3 linked regions of the Styela clava genome follow. The protein of the gene in region 1 interacts with the protein of each later gene in a pairwise test. Links are inferred from orthologs where the notes say so. Each region holds a gene or a part of one and is shown in the gene's direction. Other genes may lie near its edges. The genes, in order: translation initiation factor eIF2B subunit alpha-like, proteasome subunit alpha type-1-like and proteasome subunit beta type-1-like.

What was found.
Region 2: the proteins of translation initiation factor eIF2B subunit alpha-like (region 1) and proteasome subunit alpha type-1-like interact in a two-hybrid assay, tested with the Caenorhabditis elegans proteins (4 studies listed by BioGRID). The link is inferred for Styela clava from reciprocal best matches to the Caenorhabditis elegans genes eif-2Balpha and pas-6.
Region 3: the proteins of translation initiation factor eIF2B subunit alpha-like (region 1) and proteasome subunit beta type-1-like interact in a two-hybrid assay, tested with the Caenorhabditis elegans proteins (2 studies listed by BioGRID). The link is inferred for Styela clava from reciprocal best matches to the Caenorhabditis elegans genes eif-2Balpha and pbs-6.

Annotation. Positions count from the first base shown.
Region 1 is NC_135258.1:9,394,837-9,401,483, forward strand, and holds translation initiation factor eIF2B subunit alpha-like, read left to right. Parts: upstream 1-4,250; 5' UTR 4,251-4,269; intron 4,270-4,835; 5' UTR 4,836-4,877; coding exon 4,878-5,789; 3' UTR 5,790-6,090; downstream 6,091-6,647. Other genes in the region: A-kinase anchor protein 14-like, read right to left, coding at 1-113, 577-696, 1,178-1,297; dynein regulatory complex protein 12-like, read right to left, coding at 1,661-2,260.
Region 2 is NC_135255.1:11,108,288-11,115,534, forward strand, and holds the start of proteasome subunit alpha type-1-like, read left to right. Parts: upstream 1-4,243; 5' UTR 4,244-4,399; coding exon 4,400-4,402; intron 4,403-7,094; coding exon 7,095-7,241; intron 7,242-7,247. Other genes in the region: mitochondrial inner membrane protein Mpv17-like, read right to left, coding at 2,572-2,671, 2,749-2,801, 2,871-2,999, 3,069-3,146, 3,343-3,452, 3,849-3,936. UniProt on the Caenorhabditis elegans protein: The proteasome is a multicatalytic proteinase complex which is characterized by its ability to cleave peptides with Arg, Phe, Tyr, Leu, and Glu adjacent to the leaving group at neutral or slightly basic pH.
Region 3 is NC_135255.1:8,349,076-8,354,734, forward strand, and holds proteasome subunit beta type-1-like, read left to right. Parts: upstream 1-4,089; 5' UTR 4,090-4,105; coding exon 4,106-4,619; intron 4,620-4,703; coding exon 4,704-4,885; 3' UTR 4,886-5,039; downstream 5,040-5,659. Other genes in the region: large ribosomal subunit protein uL14m-like, read right to left, coding at 817-1,327, 1,478-1,524. UniProt on the Caenorhabditis elegans protein: Non-catalytic component of the proteasome, a multicatalytic proteinase complex which is characterized by its ability to cleave peptides with Arg, Phe, Tyr, Leu, and Glu adjacent to the leaving group at neutral or slightly basic pH.

The DNA of each region.
Region 1 (6,647 bases):
CTTCTAGTTGGTATGCTCCATCTTACTCTATATTTATGTCGAATATCATAATCAAATTCTGTGTCACCCATATAATCGATACAGTATAACCATGCTGAATCTCGCTTCCAAGTCTGTTATAGTAAAATATATCTAATATGAATATATTGTATTATGAAAAATGTTTCATATAGGTAATCGGCGAAGAACTAGAATAACAAGTTAATATGCTGCAAGAGGATATCCGAACTCCTTGCTCTTGTAGAACCTGAAAACTATTTATAGTCTATAAAATTAAACAATTACCGTAACTTGTTAGCTATTACAGATCCAGCCTTAACTTATCACCAGTCAAAGATTGTACATATAGGTACTCCTAAAGTATGCACACCAAGATGTCTCACAACCTGAATCTAACCTGGTACACAACCTGAGTTCACGTTGTGCGCCATCTTGGTGTGCATACTTCAGGAGGACCTACATAATTGGCTTCAACATTTGAGAGCATAGTTTAGTGAAGTTCTCTATATAATACACATTTGCATACACATTACACATATATAAAATTTAGCACAAAGAGCAAAATTCAAGACATACAGCGATGAACTTCTCTATCTGACCCACTCCATTTTCTGGAGTGAAGTTTTCACAAGACGACCATTCTATGTTTGGAATTCCAAAGTCTTCTTTATCTTCAAATATTATTGGAAGGTTGGCCTGAAAATATATATATATATATACGGTCAGTGATGAGCTAGAAAAATCGTAACAACCGGAACGCACCAAATTCGTGAAAATGTAATATATATTTACAACACGGCGCTACCAGTAATTTTGTCTATCGTAAGATAGAGCCGAAGAACTACAATGAAATTATCTGAAATATGACTTTTTAAAATTGAAAGAATATTCATACTAATTCAATACAAATGTTCACAAGGGTCAAAGGTCGGCAAAACATTCATTATACATTACTGCTGTGCACTAATTATTTGCCAGCTGAAATGTAAAAATAATTATGATGCAACAAAACATCAATTAATAACTAAGTTTCCCGAGGAAACCAGACTTTTCGAACCATAATTTTATTTTAACAACAGGAACGCAATGAACTGTCCAACAACCGGAACGCCGTTGGTATATGAAGCTTCAAGGCCTATCCAAGCCAGATTTGACATATCATATAAAATATACATACCAAATTATGTCTAATTTCAACTGAAACATCATGAACAGCTTTTGCTATTACGTCGTCGACTATTTTGAATGCTTCCTCATCAAATTCAGCAGGATCTTCATCACTCCATCTTACAGGCATTTTTTAGTCACAACAACTATACAGTAGTATCCCTAAAACCTTTAAACCTATCAATATGGTACTATGAAATTAATGATAACAAGGTAAAAATAGTGAGACACAAATGAAAGTCGCACAATTCACAACACAGTGATGAAAATGATTTATGAAAACTACAGGATTACATTAAAATATACCTAGTTCTCCAGTAAGCTATTGAATATAATCATCAACAAATATGAGCAGGTAGTCTAATCCAATGATCAGATTTTAGAATTCATATAAGTTTTATTGTCTATCATTGAAGGCAAGCGGATTTAAAATGTTCTCCCGTATGACCTTGTAAGCAATTCTTTCAACAGAACAAATTATCTGAATTTATTATCAAATATCCAGAGGGTTCAGACCGAACTCTAGAAGAGTAATTTTAGTTTGTTCCTGTATTTTAATTCCTTCTTGATCCCATTTATCCTTAGCTTCATCAATTTTTCCAATAAGTGAATCAAGCGAAGCCGTAAGGACTCCTTCGTATGATATTTCCATTTCATCGATTCTTTTTTCCAATATTCTGATTGTTTCGTTTTTTTCCTGTTCCATTTCTTCTTTTTCTCGTTTCGTTGTTTCAAGCTCTTGTCTTGCATTCGCTACTTGTTGTCTTAGATGTTCTACTTCTGTGTTTAGTTCTCGCATTCTAATGTCCATATCCGTGTGCATCGTTTTATATTGTCGAGTCAACTCTGCACTGACATCTTTTTGTTCCAATTTCTGCTCCTCAAGATTTTCCTCCATTTCATGAAGACGATTCTTCCAATCTGATGCTTGGGCTTGTGATCTCCGAGCAATTTCATTTCGATGAGCGAGATGTTCTTTCAGAATTTCAATTTCTCTAACAGTCTTTTTAAATTTGTCTTCTTCTTTTGCTACATCCTTCTTTTTGCCCTTCTTTCCTTTCTTTCCCTTGCCCTTTTTCTTTTTTGGTGGCATTTTATTTATTTACTATAATAGAATTTGATAGTGCTTGAATAAATAAGAAGTAAAATAAAGCATAATGTATATCAGGGGTCGGGAACCCATGGCTCGCGAGCCATATATGGCTCTTTTGATGGCGGCATAAATATGGCTCCCAGAAAAATCTAATATTGTAAGGCTAAGCTTACAATTGTTAACGAGTTTTCAAACCTATTTATAGCCAAATTTGCCAAGACGTTTGAAAACGTGCGCCCAGCGCATGTCTATGTTATTTGAGAGAATTACCAGACAAGCATTGTGACAAAACTAGGGGATTCTGGAATCTATTTTGTGACGCCACAAAGTGTTATAGTTTCGGAGCTATAGAGAAAAGCTTTTCGTCCGTTTGTACGTACTAATTACAGTATTTGTCATATTTAAATCAAACTAGTACAGAGATGCCTAAACGAAAGAAGGGTGATGGTGATGTGTATCGTAGATTTCAACTTGGCTGCATGTGAGCAGCCGTTGAAGCATCAGAAGTCACATTAAATGTATATTGACATTGTATTTGTTGACTTTTGAGTAAAATTTCAGGCCTGAAATGCTGTATGGCTCGCACGGAAATGCAATTGAAAATATGTACCTTTTATGGCTCTCTTGACCAAAAAGGTTCTCGACCCCTGATGTATATGATATATGGTAAAATCATGACAAAAAATCAGGCTGTGAGATTAGTTATTGCTAAAAATATTTGATGGTCTAATCACACTTTTGTGTACCTATAAAGCGTTAACAACTTATCTATCTATCTTAACTATCTAACAATATGAGATTAATTGTAACCAAAGTATTTCACATTACAAAAATATTATTCATTTGCAATATTTCAGTCATTTTCAATCCAAATATGGTTTCATGATGAGTCAACATAGGCTTTCCATTTTTTTTTGTATTGGCAGCAGTCAGTTCTTTTTGTCGGCTTTCCTCTCCTCCGGGATAAATATGTAAATCCTCCTCCTCCTCCTAATATACCTTAATACAGCTGTTCATTTCTCTCTGTCACGCATTAATACCGTACACATATAAAATTCCATTCCAGTTGTTATTATTATTTCTTATACATATAGAAACAAGTCATAGCTTAAAATAGTTACTAGTTCGCTTACTACATACCGGTAGCCTTGTACGAGCGGCAGAACACAAAATAAAACTCTCAGCCGAACGAAGCGTGTCGCGTTGTCATGGAGTTCTGATACACTTGATATTTTCAAGAATAATAATCCGGCCCTTGACCCCTTTGACAGTTTTCGTGACCTGGCTTCAATGACATTTATTGTCATTGCTGGCACCAACGACTAACATACGCCTGGCACTTTCCAAACGAGTTTACTTGTTTCATAACTATTTTTCATCACTACTACTAAACTGGAACGCTCCAGAAGACAAAACGACCAATGGTATTTTGATTTATAAGGTACCGGTACCAAAATTTCGGAAACACATCTAAAACATACAAACAGATAGCGACTCCAATATTTACAAGTTACAACCATGTCTGAAAATCTGTCTTGAGTACCGGTACCAGTATGTAAAGGGACACAACCATTGCGTCATGTTCCCAATCATGCTGTGCCGAATGCACTACAGGAGTGGTGACTCCTCTACGGCCCATGGGCCGGGGCCACATGGGCCGTGGCCCATAGCTTGATGGGCCGCGGCCCCATCAGGAAAAATTCAATTATCTTAACAAAATTTTCAATTTTTACCAAATTGTCAATATTCTAACCAAAAAAACATACTCCTGTAGTATGTGTACCAGGTTAGGGTTAGGACAAAAAAAATTCAGATTTTTTACATTATAGTTCTATTATGAGTTCGGGGACTGTCTGTGTTAGCCAAGTGAATAGTTTCTTTACACAACTTGATGGGCCCCGGCCCATGGGCCGCAGAGGAGTCACCACTCCCACTCCGAATGCATACCGGTATCCGATGGAAATGACCTGCGACAAAATTTGATTTTGGTAACTTGAAATTCTATAGAGGTAGTCTCATTAAGCTTGCTTAATTAGTAGGTACCGCTAGTAGCCTAGTTCTGTTGTAGTCAGCAATCAGCATATTCAGATATTACTGTATTACCGGTACCACAGTCAGGCAGTTGGATTATAAGAAGGATTTACAGATTTCTGGATTTATTAGACCCTATAATTTGTATTTGGCTTTTATCCAGTACCGGTACCGCACCATGTTCTTATATCTAATCATAATATTATTTTATAACTGAATAAAAGCTGTAAATGTCATCTGTATAAACATTTCTCAAAATATTTCGCAATGATTTTTCAGATATCCACAATCAAACAAAACTGGACCCTGTCACCAAACAGAATGCTCACTTGTTAAGTGTTAATAATATTCCATATCTGAAACAATTGAATCGTAATTCTGTAATTATTTCTTCCCAGTGATTTTCACTTACAGACTTAGCAGTGGCATACAAGGCCTTTTGGCGTAAAATACATTAGTGATTTGTACTCCTGGACTGAATAATAATAATTTCCTCTTTTTTCAACAAATATTATTTGAACCATATCTCTTTTTATCTTTGCAGGTATTGTTTTGTATATAGCAAGGGTATTCACAGAAAGAGATCATGAATGATGAAGAGATAAGTGAATATTTTTTGTCGGAATTACGAAACAGTACTCAATCATCTCCCGCAGTTGCTGCAATCAAAACTCTAATAGAATATCTGAGAAAGGATCATGCTGAAACATTATCAGGATTACGAGATAATCTAAAAAGTGCAATAGAAGTGCTTGTGAGGACTGACTGCACAGGAATTACACCTATCTTGTCTGGATCGGAACTGTTTCTTCGCTTTATCACCCTATCTTCTTTAGAACACTCAGACTTCGATAAAGTGAAGGATATTCTAATAAGCCGTGGTGAAATGTTCCTGCAAAAAATATCATCCAGCAGACAAAAAATTGCCAGACTTGGGTTGCCATTTTTGAATGATGGTATCAAAGTTCTTGTTCATTCATATTCAAGAGTAGTTTTGAACATGTTAATCAAAGCTATGGAAGCTCAAAAGCGTTTCACTGTTTTTGTCACTGAATCACGACCAGACATGAGTGGTAATATAATGGCGGAAAAATTAAGAGAACATGGCATCCCAGTGACTGTAATTCTTGACTCAGCTGCTGGTTATGTTATGGAAAAAATAGACCTTGTATTGATTGGTGCTGAAGGTGTGGTAGAAAACGGTGGGATTATGAACAAGATAGGAAGTTACCAAATTGCTGTTTGTGCAAAGGCACATAATAAACCCTTGTATGTTGCTGCCGAGAGCATTAAATTCGTTCGCCTTTATCCATTAAATCAGCAAGATGTACCGAATGAAATAAAATACAAAGCATCAACAATCAAGTCCAAGAATCTTGACCAAGAACATCCTAATGTAGACTACACTCCTCCATCTTATATCACTTTACTAATAACTGATTTGGGTGTCCTGACACCTTCTGCTGTAAGTGATGAACTTATCAAACTATACTTATAAAGTTGTAATGGTTGGAGGTTGAATATTCGCATCTGGGAGATACCACCAATACAGAATGGTGGCCAGTATTCCGAGAGTCATAAAAATTTTTGTCAAGATCTTGCAAGTCTGCATGGAATGCTATATGGCCATGTTCAGGTCATTTTAATAACACATCAAAGGTGCAATGTGGCATATCAATATTGGTGATAATTATTCGGATTCTAATTTTATTTTTAATTGGCGCGGTTTTGATTGAAGTTTTTGTTGTATGATCTGTTATATCACAGCAAAATTATTACTTTATAAAATGAATTTCAGAGGACTATAAGAGTACTTTCGAATGTCTTGCTTTGGTTTAGGAGAATTTGCTCAGAGTTGAGTCATTCATCTGAGCAAAATTGAAGGAGACCACTGAAATTCCAGCTTTCAGCTATTCCAGTCGCGAATGAATTAATAATCCAGAGAAAAGAATTAATAATGGGAAGAAAAATATTTGTTCCAGAATGCGGGACCCCCAAGTAAAGTTAATGATTATTGCCACATCGTCAGAATACAGATGTTTTTTTTATTCAGAAATGGAAAATTCTTTAGCTCTGCGTGCCTATGGGACATATCCGTTGATATGTCGGGTAGAATTATATTTGGTGAAGATGTGAGTTCTATCAAGTCATATCGACTTTTTTTCTACACATCAATTCACGTACTGGGTTGCAGTGTGGAAAAATTTGGTTTACCCATAATGTAATTTATAATCAGATGCCATGCCCATACCTCAAAATTCATTGCTCTTGCCGGCTGTATTTTGAACTATACAATGTTACTGAACACAAATAAAATCTCAGTATCTGTATTTACAGAGAGTAAAAAATTCATCTC
Region 2 (7,247 bases), on another chromosome or scaffold:
CCCGGTTGGCCCTATTGACGCGCCGCCACTGTGTTTTATGATAGTGGTTTGCCTACGTACCGACTTACTAATATTTAATTTGATGACAGCACATTTGAACGTACGTACATTTGCACCCGTAAACTGCACCTAGGACATTCGCACCTGCATACTTTTGCACCACCGACATTTGCACCCAAACATTTCCATCCATAGATCGTAGCACCCACATGTGGATTGCACCCGCGAACATTTGAACCCATGTGTATTTGCACCCACGTACATTTGCACCCACGAACATTTCCACCCAGGTACATTTGCATCCATGAACTTTTGCACCCACGAACATTTGCACCCATGAACATTTGCACACTGGATATTTGCAACCGCGGACATTTGCACCCGCGTATATTTGCACCCACGTACATTTTCACCTATGTTCATTTGCACCCATGCACATATGCATCCACGAATTCTTGTACCCATGGCATTCTCACGCATATGCATGCGCCTCATAACAGTCATGTTCGCGATTAGACAAACTTTAATTGCCAAATATAAATATATTTGAAAAGAAGACGGATTACAAATTTTAAGTAGCCCTTATTCTTAGTGAGAGTCGCTACGTTTTTATTGTCATTGCGAGTTATAATCCTTTCCAATTGTTCATGGGTGCAAAAGTATGCAGGTGCGATTGTACGTGGGTTCAAAGATAATGACAAACCGTTTAATTTTATCTTCACGTTGCTGTCTTGCGATGTTGTTACACTTCGCTAATGAAGCTCTTATAACGACGTTCGAGGTTATATTCTCCCACGACAGATATATTTTTACTATTCCTTTAGTTTCTTACTTTTGAAGAGTAGACTCAGTCTCATTAACCCAAGATGCGATTCAAGATTGCTAGCAGCCAAAAGTATCTATTTTCATGCTTTTCTCACACAAAAGGGTCACCACTAGTGCAAAATTGTTGACAGAGTATAATAAGTATAAGTATATTTTGATTTTCCCGCAAAAGAATCATACAAAAAACACAAGCAATGAACACACAGAAGATTGGGAAAACTGGCAAAACCTTTATAAAGGTTTAATACATGCGCCAGTTTGCCCACGTTCAACACACAAACATATATTCAAAATAAAAAAGACAAAGGCCAGAACGGGTATCAGAGTGTATTGATTAAAGAAAGAACTGATATTTGCCACGATTTTTTGGATTGTGGTCTTGCATGTCAAAGCATATTTATTTGAAAATTTTGTAATAAGCCTTAGAACACCAATGCTGGAAACCAACTGCATGAAAGATTAATGAAAACATAATATAAATCAGCAATTCAGACAAATTAATCTCGATAGAATCATGGTAAATTAGACACCTGTGACATACTATAAATCAGCAATTCAGACAAATTAATCTCTATAGAATCATGGTAAATTAAACACATCAATAGATGGGGTAAATGTAGGACGGGCTGCAGAAAGCAACACTTTATCCTAAACATTTATTTTGAAAAGCCATCAGTTTACTTATTTTGTAAAGATTCTAAAAAATCATGACCTATTCAGTTCTGTGATTAGCCCCCTTCCAACGAAGGGGCGGGAATATATGCATTTTATAGTTTCGTACAAATGTGTGAACATAAAATACTGCAAGCACAAGCATTTGGGAGAAAATAGTCTCTGAAGCTCGAGTCACAGGTCATCACAGAGCCTTGATTCAAATTCCAGAGTTGCAGAAAATTTCAAAAATGTGGTCAGTCATAGTGGATTTCAAAACAAAACTGGAATGGATAAATATGAGTAATATTGACACTAAGATTTGTAACTTCCATTAAACCAACTTAATCATGTATTAACAAATCATGTATTGACAACTTTTATATCGGTATTCGGTGCTAAAAATAACTATTTCGAATTTGGTACTTTAATAAGATATTTCCAATGTAACATCTACAACACAGCAAATAGTGTTTCTGTTGAGACGAGTCAATTGTTTTAGATACGCAACACTGGTTTGTATGGCCATCACATTAATTTATGGAAATTTACCAATGTATATTACAACGAAAGCAAAAAATAATAATTGGCAGTTAAACGATAAAATAAAACGCTTCCTTATGAAATTTAAACATAAAATGATTTGTTGAAGAATAAACTTAGGTGTGCTACATAAACAAGTTATCAGAGGCTACATAAAAAAGTTATCAGACAATTTAAAGATCTGCGAGGCAGTATTGCACTTAGTTGCTTACAATAACAATTGAAGAAAATCTACACTGCAATGTTTAAAAGATAAAAATCACAACCCCACCAAAATAACATAGAAATGTCTGGTACCATACCAGAATACTCCAAATACACTTGCAATATTAGTTCTATATAGCATATTACACTAAGCAATGACACTGGCACTATAGAAGTGTTAGACTGAGGTTTAATACTGCTTCATAGGAATATCTGCTTCTGCCATGAATACAATTCTATTATTCCGAATATTTTTTCCCCTTTTAATACATTTGAGTCAGGAGCAATGTATTTTTTAATCCTCCATCCACATTATAACAATATCCACCCCCTTCAACCTTGTCTCGCCTACATGACGCTCTCCATAGGTTGAATTCGTGTTTTGTTGTTAGTCCTATATGACAAGTAACAATTCCAAAAAAGTGCAATACTTTGTGAATACAACATCCTGCGAATAGGACACAAAATTGGTAAGTTGAAAAATGAAAACAAGTCATGTAATAAAAATAGTAAATGAAATCTTACCTGTATTGGAAAGGAACAAATTGAAAATTCACTATTTGAGCTGGGATCCATATCTTAAAAATATAACCTTTTATTTACACAAAACAAAAACAATTCATGAGCTATGGATATTGTATATTTACCAGCCAATTAATCTTCAAAACATCAGGTAAATCATGTCTGATACGATGTTTCATAGCCTTCGTTCCTTGACCAAATAATATGGTTTGCAAAACAAGGAATCCGAAGAGGAGGGGTGGAGACATAATGAACTAAAATAAGATAAAACAGTTTAATTTATGAACTCAAATATCATATGTATAATAATATAAAGTGTATACCTGATCCAAAAAGACATTGACTCCTGTTGAATATCCACGCATACTCAGAAACACATACCACATTGAAACTAAAGGACCCTGAAGAAATTTTAATTAAATCAATAAAGAAATAGCATAAATATCTGTGACTTATATTAAATATATAATATGACTAATTATGAATATTCTCATGATTCAGTTCAATTTGCAAACTAAGATGTGCACGATTTAAAAATTGAAATTTGACATATAATGAAGTTAATCGACTTTGAATAATACATAACAATAATCTTACAAGATACATTAAAGCACATGCTGCCATGATGGTTGTTCGTCGAAGGTCACAACCTTTTTTTTGCTCAACTAGTTTTTGTGAGATGACATCAGCAAATGTTGTGAGGATACCTTATATATGATAAGTAAAGCAGCTTTAAAAATACAACTCTCATGCCTGCATGCTGAGTGCAATTCCATCACTGGCACAACTGAAGTTATGAGAAGAAACAAGGTGTTTAAAAGATCAACAATGAATATCCAATAACAAAAGAGAAAATATCAGTAGATCAAATGAGTAATATGCAATAATGAAAATATGACATCTCAATTCATTCAGACAATACACAGATACCTGGATACAGCGGTGCAATACTATGCAGATATGGATCATGCACATCTGAGAACAAGTTGAAATGGATGGCTGGATGGGAACTTTTCATTCATAAACCAATACCGGTAAATTGAACTGTCTATTCTATTTTCAGCATTATTTCAATATAAAGACTGAAAAAAGGAAACGTTTACCTGCTGTGCCTGTTTGAGTTAGTAAAGGTCGTTGTTCCACAAGTTCTCCATAGGCTTTTAATAACACGTCGACGGTGAGTGTATTCATATTTCCCAACCTACCGTACTGCAAAACTACACACACTGATGCAGCGTTGTTTGGAAGATACCCGTAACCAAAGTCACTTTGCCCGTAACCTCTTGACGAACACTGACGAACGCTGACTGAACACGAAGTGAAATATGAGAAACTTTACTTCCGCATCGTGTTTCACGAATATTGTTTTTTTTTTATATTTATGTTATTAATACTTTAATAAATTTTGAATGTCTTCTAAAAATATATATATACATATAAAACTATTGTTAATTATCTTTGGAAACTGGTTTTGCAAAATTTTCGTTACGGTTCACCGAGAGCAAAACTGCTGAGCAATACAAGATTTCATGAATCATCATTCATGCGACGAGTTCCAGATCAGCGGTAGCTACTATATTGCTTAGTTTTCGTTTATTGATTTATGCTGCTAGATTAGTTCTGTTAATCCAGTAATTGTTTAAATTTGCTAAAGATGGTAAGTTGTTAAGATTAGTTAAAGATCTATTTATGTAGTAACAACACGAGTGCCATTTTGATAGCAATACATCCAGACATCTGTAAATGCAGTTGGAAACTATGCTCTATTTATATTTATGTGTCAAATCTTTTCCAAATAATTGAATTGACTGAATCATTTTAACCAAAATATTTGATTAATTACCGTAAAAGCAGGTAACTTCGGATGATTTCACTATATTATGAACAATTTCTCCGCCGTTTATTGTTCAATTGAAGCCAAACTTGGAATATAATACATTGAAGCCTTTCTCCTCGCGATAAACTCGGTTTCATATCAATCAATACTTTTTTTCATTCAAATTATTGACTTTATTTGCCTGCCGATCTGTATTCCAAATGTTTATAACTTCGGATGGCCACTTTTCGCTTTGCGTCACTTCGTCGTGAGAGAGAAATGTCTGCGTGATCAGTGACGCGTGATAACGTCGCTGCGTAGAACTTACGACGCCGTGATTCGTTTTGCGTGGTGCACACTGACGTTCATCTATGACGGCCGTTTTTGTTATTATTAATTCTTCCGGGTCGGCGGACATCAAAGTTTTATATATCTGGTGTACCCGTGTGTTTACATCGGCAACAGCTCTTGAAGACAAGAAGGACTGATTTCAAAACCCAAATTAATTTTGTTCTGATTTAATCTTACGTGTTGGCTTTGATCTTACTTATCACCGTTTGTATACTATTAATCGTTCGAGTTTAAAGCGAACGGTGATATTATTATCGTCGCCGAGATGGAGATATTTATTAAGACGATGATTGATGTTGTTATGCTTTGCACCCGCGATTGTGCGAATACTGAATTTTTATTTATAATAATGATTGAATAAATCGGCCGTTATGCATTTATACTTGGCATAAGGCTTTTGGTCCTGATAGCGGGTCGGACACTAATTATAACTATTTCCCTCAAGTTTTAACTTTTTTTTTGAACAAAACAATACCCCAACGGTTATTATAGCTAAAACCGTTACCGACTAATTCACAATTTTATCTGCGGAATTTGCGAACTCAGCACTTTACTCGACGATTTTGACAGTGTCGCGCCATAATTATTACCGCTAAATGCTTCAAAATACAACGCATGTAATAATTTTGCCCAGCCCTATTCCTGACGTTTCGCAAAACTAAACCATTTATCTCTTGACTATTCTTAATTTCATGAAAGTGCTATATCTTGCTATTATGATCGTTTCAATACGAAACAAAAATGAGACAACATGGGACAAATGAAAATAAAAAACGGACGAATAAAATAAGTCGTAAAAGTAAAAATGGAAAACAATTTTTAATACAAAACAAAAATGAAACGAATGAAAATAATAAAATAGAAAAATGGATGATGAATTACGGTAGGTAGTAAAAGTAAAAAAAATGGAAGTGGACAACAATATGGAACAGTGTAGCTTGTGGCCGTGTTGATAATTCAGATATAATGTATTCACAGGCAGATAGACATGAAACGGATAAAAACGCCAAAAACCTCCAATCTCCTGCTGTGTGCACCTGTGCAGAGTTTCATGCTCACCTGTGCAACATTCTACTCTTAATATATTATCATCGCCGATCGTAAAACCTTGTCATTGTGATAGTATAGATACGCGTATCTGGCTGTTCATCAGCCTTACGTATCAACAACATCTACACGGTCGAAGAATGCCGAAATGTTAACACACAAATTTAATGTGCATTAATCGGATTCACAATAAATAAACAGCATATGACCGGGGCTATAATTAAGTTTTTGTAGGATTTGGTGACGAGGATCAGGTAGGAGTTTTCACTTTATATTTAACTACACGTGGCGCCACATAGTCTGGCGTTCAAATGTCGCAGCGAGTTACGCACGAGCTACGCAATGTGACGTCGGCCTTAAATGGAGCGAAATTGAATCACGTTGTTGACGTCACGTTCAGCGTAAGCACCGTAACGTCGATATTTTGACGAAATTTTTAAATCAAAATAATATATTTTACTTAAATCTCGTACGACATCTCGTGATCACTGTAATTTTCCTTGTACATTGTGTATGCCCTCTAGCGATTGACGGTCTTTTAGTGAAGTTAGCGTCGATAGAAGTCGCTATTTTAGCCGCTCAAAAGCGAGGTGTCAATTTTTGGCAAAAAGGTGATTTTTTGTGTCAAAAAATAAATCCTATTAGGCGACTGAATATGATAAGAGATTAAGATATATAAGGACTCTCTATAGAAACTGCCAGAAGCAGAATATGACGTAATTTAGTCGAGATATAAACGATTGAAAATTTCATCCGAAGTTATAAACCATCCGAAGTTACCTGCGTTTACGGTATGTACCTGTGATAAAGATATTTTTGAGGGAGTCTTCATAATATCGATAAAAATTTTCATGAAATAAGTTACGGACTTTGTAGTTTGATATTGATGTTTTATTAAAAATGAATAAAAAATTGCCTTGTACAGTAATAAGCCATTTTGATGCCAGTCACACATGCATTTTAAGCTGACATGTTCTCGTACAGCCGTATGAGCATCAAGTTTCCAAATTCATCATTACATTGTAGACTACAGTTGTATCGTATACCTGCTTATCGGTGATAACATATTATACCTATATTATTATTTTGTTTCATAAACACTGCAAACTCGCAATGCAAAATCTTTTTGTTTTAGTTTCGAAATCAATATGACAATGATGTGACAGTTTGGAGCCCACAGGGACGTATACACCAGATTGAGTATGCAATGGAAGCTGTGAAACAGGGATCTGCTACGGTGGGATTGAAGTCAAAAACACATGCAGTAATTGTTGCACTAAAGGTAATG
Region 3 (5,659 bases), on another chromosome or scaffold:
CTTCTTCTTGGCAAAACCTTCCATCTTATATTTTGTAAGTTATAAACCTTATCTAAGGTTTCGTTTGCTCCCCTGATTTCATAATCAGTTTTTATTTATTTGTTTTTATCTGTCAAATGTATTGTTGTGCTGATTATGGAGTCGAAATAAATTTATTATACTTATATTCAATTTTTATGTATTCCAAGACGTTGAATGGTTTACATGAATATTTGTTAAATGTAATGTACAACTAAGACATTGCAATATCTCAATGGCAATAAGCATTTATGCAATATTGCATTCACTACATTGCGTTTGTAAAAAAAAACAATCGAAATCCTGTTTTAGGGTCCTGGTTCTCGTTGGTACTAGGCATCATTTGAAAATAGTTGGTAGGTATGGTTCAGCAAATGGCAATATTTACACAATCATATGAAGCAAAATAAGGATGAACTTTCCTGATTTTGCACTAGCGCTTGACTTGTTACTGTTAGTATACAAAAGTTCATGGTACAACCTCCACAAATGTTCAACCCAAACAAGCACAACAATACTAATCCAACATTGTGGATTTGTCAACAATCATATTTCACATAAAAGGTGTCAATACTTTTATAATACAATGCATACGAAGAAATTTATGAGATACTCGCACAATTGCAATATACCAATCTCCACAATGGTCTCATATTTAGCAGAAGCATATAACTAGGTTAGACAATCTAACCAATAGATGGAAAGCTGAACAAACCTCCAGTTTTAGCTTCCATCGCATTGTTGGATTAACATGCATAACTGAGGAAAGAAAGTTGAAGCAGTTAACATGAAGGTATTTCATACAAATCTCCCAGCAATTGCAATGACTTTAGAAATTTGTACTCTCTGCTTTGCAGATTGAATTCCTCTAAGAAAAGATGGCACTGGGACTGTAATTCTTGTGCCATCTGGAGTACCATCATCATTTATTAAAATTACATTATTAGAATCCATTCTGGCTTTCATGGGGCCCATTGATCTCTTTTGACCAATAATAAGTGCTCTTTTCATCAGTCCTCCTATTGCTAAAAGTACAGTGTCACCCACCCTTCCATATCCAGTTTTATGGTAGACTTGTATCACTCGGGGATAACGATAATAGCTCTGCAATGCAAGTGCACTATTGTCAGTTACCCTTACCCGGGTAAGTTTTTGAAAAGCTTTCCTCTGCATAGCCTTCGTTTGCCGATGTCTGTCTCTAACATTGCCTGGGTGATGTTTTTCTCCGAAATTCACATTTTCATAAAATGTTTGATTGTCATAATGTGCAGCATTTGGTGCCTTTACATTGCAGCATGTGTAGAATCCCCTGTTGAAATTTTTTACATGATAAAAATATTTCATAGAAAATAAAGAGGTGAGCCAAAAAATAATCTATTGCCTTGACAGATAAAATAACCACCAATAATCATTTTTTTCCTGTGATTTTGAATTTTAACATAATAAAAATTCATTTTACCTCACTGCATTAATTGAAGGGTTGAAGTATCTAAGAATGCTTTGCATCTTTTAATCCACAGGATTTTAACTTGTATCTGAAGACATCCAATAGTATTATGCTTGTTTAAACCTACCAATGAAATAAGTTGGTATGAGAAATCAGGATAGAAACCGAGGGTTAGCAGAGGTCACGATGAGCCAACCACTGAGCTAAGAAATAATCAAAACTGATCACAGAATCAGGTGAGCAAACAAAACTTGGGGTCTGGTATAGTTTAGTACCACATACCCTTCTAATTGGCCTGGCTTAACAATTTTTGCATATGTCATTTCTAACCCTCACATGACTATGTCACCGAAAAATTATGCCATTGCGACATCACAGTTACATAATAAGGCCCACCAAAGTAAGCGGATGATCGTCCAAAACGCGCAGAAAGATCACCGGCGCTAGCGAGTTTGTTATCGGCTGCGCAGATGACATATCGGGCGATCGTAATGATACTTTGGCAAGCACGATGACGTGAAGGTGACGTAATTTTTGCTACAGGAGTGGTGACTCCACTACGCCCCATGGGCCGGGGCCACGGCCCATCTAATTGGGCCACATGGGCCGTGGCCCATCAAGCTATGGGCCGTGGCCCCGTCAGGAAAAATTCAATTATCTTACCAAAATTTTCAATTTCTACAAAATTGTCAATATTCGAACCAAAAAATAAACTCCTGTAGTATGTGTACCAGGTTAGGGTTAGGGCAAAATTTTGTTCAGATTTTTTACATTATAGTTCTATTATGAGTTTGGGGACTGTCTGTGTTAGCCAAGTGAATAGTTCCTTTACACAACTTGATGGGCCACGGCCCATAGCCTGATGGGCCTAGGCCCAATTTGATGGGCCGTGGCCCCGGCCCATGGGCCGAAGAGGAGTCACCACTTCCACTCAATTTTTGGATGGCCTAGTCAGGTGAGGGGTTAGTAATAACATATGCAAAATTCGTTATGCTACGCCTACTGGAAGTACTTGCGGTACTAAACTATACTAGACCCCAAAACCTCATGTACTGTTTGAGACATACAGATTTAAAATTGTGAGTAAGGGGCTGTCAAAAGAAGTGATACAATGTTCCTCACCTAAAATGTGTTAAATTAATGAATACACGCACGCACAAGGCACACACACATACAATCACTAAGACATAATAACGAAATAAAAAGAGAAAAAAGATAAACATAGTAGTCTATGTTATTGCATTCAAAAACATGATGATGTCTGAGTATTAGGTGGTTACCAAACGTTAATAAAAGACCATGAAAAACAACTGTGACAGACAATGAAGGCGGCAGTCCAGTAAAAAAATAAAAAGTTTTATCAATTCTGAAATTAGACCTGTTTCAACTGATCACAATGATAAAGGCAGCATGAGAAATATGCCCCTATACAGGCACCCAACAATATTGTAAGATAAATTTGTCAAGTACAGAAGTCAGCAAGTATCGGTATCGTACCATTTGCATTTTGCACACTCAATACAATAAAATATATTTCGGAACTTTATTCTCGGCAATTTAATTACTCCAGCACTGGCAAAACATAAAATGAAGGTACCGGTACCGCAGTGATGTGTTAGTTTATGTTGCTAGTCAAGGTACTTATGAAAATTTTCACCTGGCTAATCCACCCAATTTCAGTATAAGTCAACAAGAACAATCAGTGTTGTATTCTCCCTGAGTACAACATAAATTTCAACGTGAAAATCTGGCACGGCATGACGAATTCAGCCATCCGTTTGATGATACGGCAATTTATTTTAGCTGCGTCATTACTAAATAATACGTTCTGTTGTAATTTTCGATTCGATCGGAGGCTGAGCGACTTTCGTGTTTAAAACTCTACGTTGTAGCTCAAATTACGGTTAGGTTGCGCTGCTGACTCTATACTTATAAGTTAGCTGTATAAGCATATTACTGTGAAGAACATTTAAGATTTTAAAATCTACGTTAAAATCTTAGATAGTCTAGATCTGTAATTTTTAAATCAGTTTCACATTTTCCAGATTTCAGAATCTACCGGTATTGAAATAAGCAACTTTGGTATTCAGGTAATCTATTTTATAGGCAGTGAGGTTTATTACCACCCATAGTCTGATAATGTCAATTATAGTACCGGTACCGTATGGCGAATCACGCTCATCATTAGGAATACGGTACCGGTAGCGGTACCCTTGCCATCGCACTTCTGATTAGTGTGCTTGGGTTTGTAAGCTTGAATTCCGCCCAACTATGTCAGTATGTGGAAGAGGACTGTTGTAATTCTCCATCATTGAGTCCATATGTCTAAAAACAAATAAATGGCGGACTAATCCCATATCGATTGTGACATTGTAGTCAACTTCCTCTCCCTCTGGATAAATATGTAAATCCTATTGCAAATATGGATAGGATGTAAATAATTTCATATTTTGCCTTTGAAGAATTTTTAGTTAATTCCCTACTTTTCCGTGTCAACTATTGAAAGTAAAAAATGTGGTGTTACGAATTTCTCATTGTTCGTTAGCTGTGGTGCTTATATATTAAAATTATTCTATATTAAATACTCACTTATTATTATTTTATGATTAATTATGCACGATACAGGTCAAAAATAAAAAAATGGATAGTATTGGAAAACTTCAAACCTATGGAATCAATGCACCAAAGCAGCAACATTTTTCCCCATATGCTTCAAACGGTGGTAATACATTGGCGATTTCTGGAGATGATTTTGCCATAATTGCAGCAGATACCAGGCTGAGTCAGGGTTTCTCTATACACAGCCGGGAAGAACCAAAAACTTTACAGCTAACCCCCAAAGTTGTGCTGGGAGCTGCAGGTTTTCATGGAGATAGTCTGACCCTAAAAAAGGTCATACAAAATAGAATAAAATTATATGAGCATGAGCACGGCAAGAAGCCAAGTGTCAGTGCAATAGCCGCCATGCTATCAACCATCCTTTATTACAAGCGATTCTTTCCTTACTATGTTTACAACCTGTTGGCTGGCATAGATGATGAAGGCAAAGGTTGTGTGTATTCATACGATCCGGTTGGATGTTATGAACGTGAAGCATATAGGGCAGAAGGTTCAGCTGCTGAATTGTTGCAACCTCTTCTGGACAATCAGATAGGTATGTTGTAAAGTAACATGGATATAATATAACAATGATTTTTTAACGAGTTAAAAAATGACATGATTAAATATGCTTTTTTAGGTTTCAAGAATATGGAAAATGTTCCGAAAATACCTCTTACGAAACAGAAAGGTTTACAGCTAGTAAAGGATGCTTTCATATCTGCTGCTGAACGAGATATAACGACTGGAGATAGTGTTCTTATCCATATTATTGATGCCAATGGTGTGAAGACAGAACGATTCCCTCTTAGAAGAGACTGAGTTTTTCTACCAGGACTTTCTGTGACATTATTAGCACTATCTAACAGTGCAAGATGCTCAAAAAAGTTCATTTGTCAGTAAATGTGAGCATTTCGAAGCTTGTTTGAAAAAATGCTTTGCATTTTATTACTAAATTACATTCTTGAATATAAAAGTGTATGAATGATGGGTATTACATTAGAGAAGTTTCAAAGGAATGTTTGGTGTTGCATGCATTTCAATGGTAGTCTTGACTGCCCGTCCGTGTACATTTAGAGCCAAAATATGTCAAATAGCGCCTGCTTGGGGAATTAAGAATACTATTTGCCGAGCCCACAACAGAATTTCACCTGGTCTGTAGGATCATTTTTCACACCTTTTATTACTAAATTACATTCTTGAATATAAAAGTGTATGAATGATGGGTATTACATTAGAGAAGTTTCAAAGGAATGTTTGGTGTTGCATGCATTTTGTTTAATATGCGCAGTTCCATGCATTTCAATGGTTAGTCTTGACTGCCCGTCCGTGTACATTTAGAGCCAAAATATGTCAAATAGCGCCTGCTTGGGGAATTAAGAATACTATTTACCCACAACAGAATTTCACCTGGTCTGATGTCTGCAGGATCATTTTTCACACCTCGCCAGCTACACCCAATTAATATCTCTCTGGAGAATCTATCCCCTGACTATCATGCAAGTAGGTGACCTCTGCATATAGTAATATCCAAGTTTCATGGATGAAAAATACAACAAAATTCTTGTGCTTTGTTTCAGTTTATACTGCTATCAA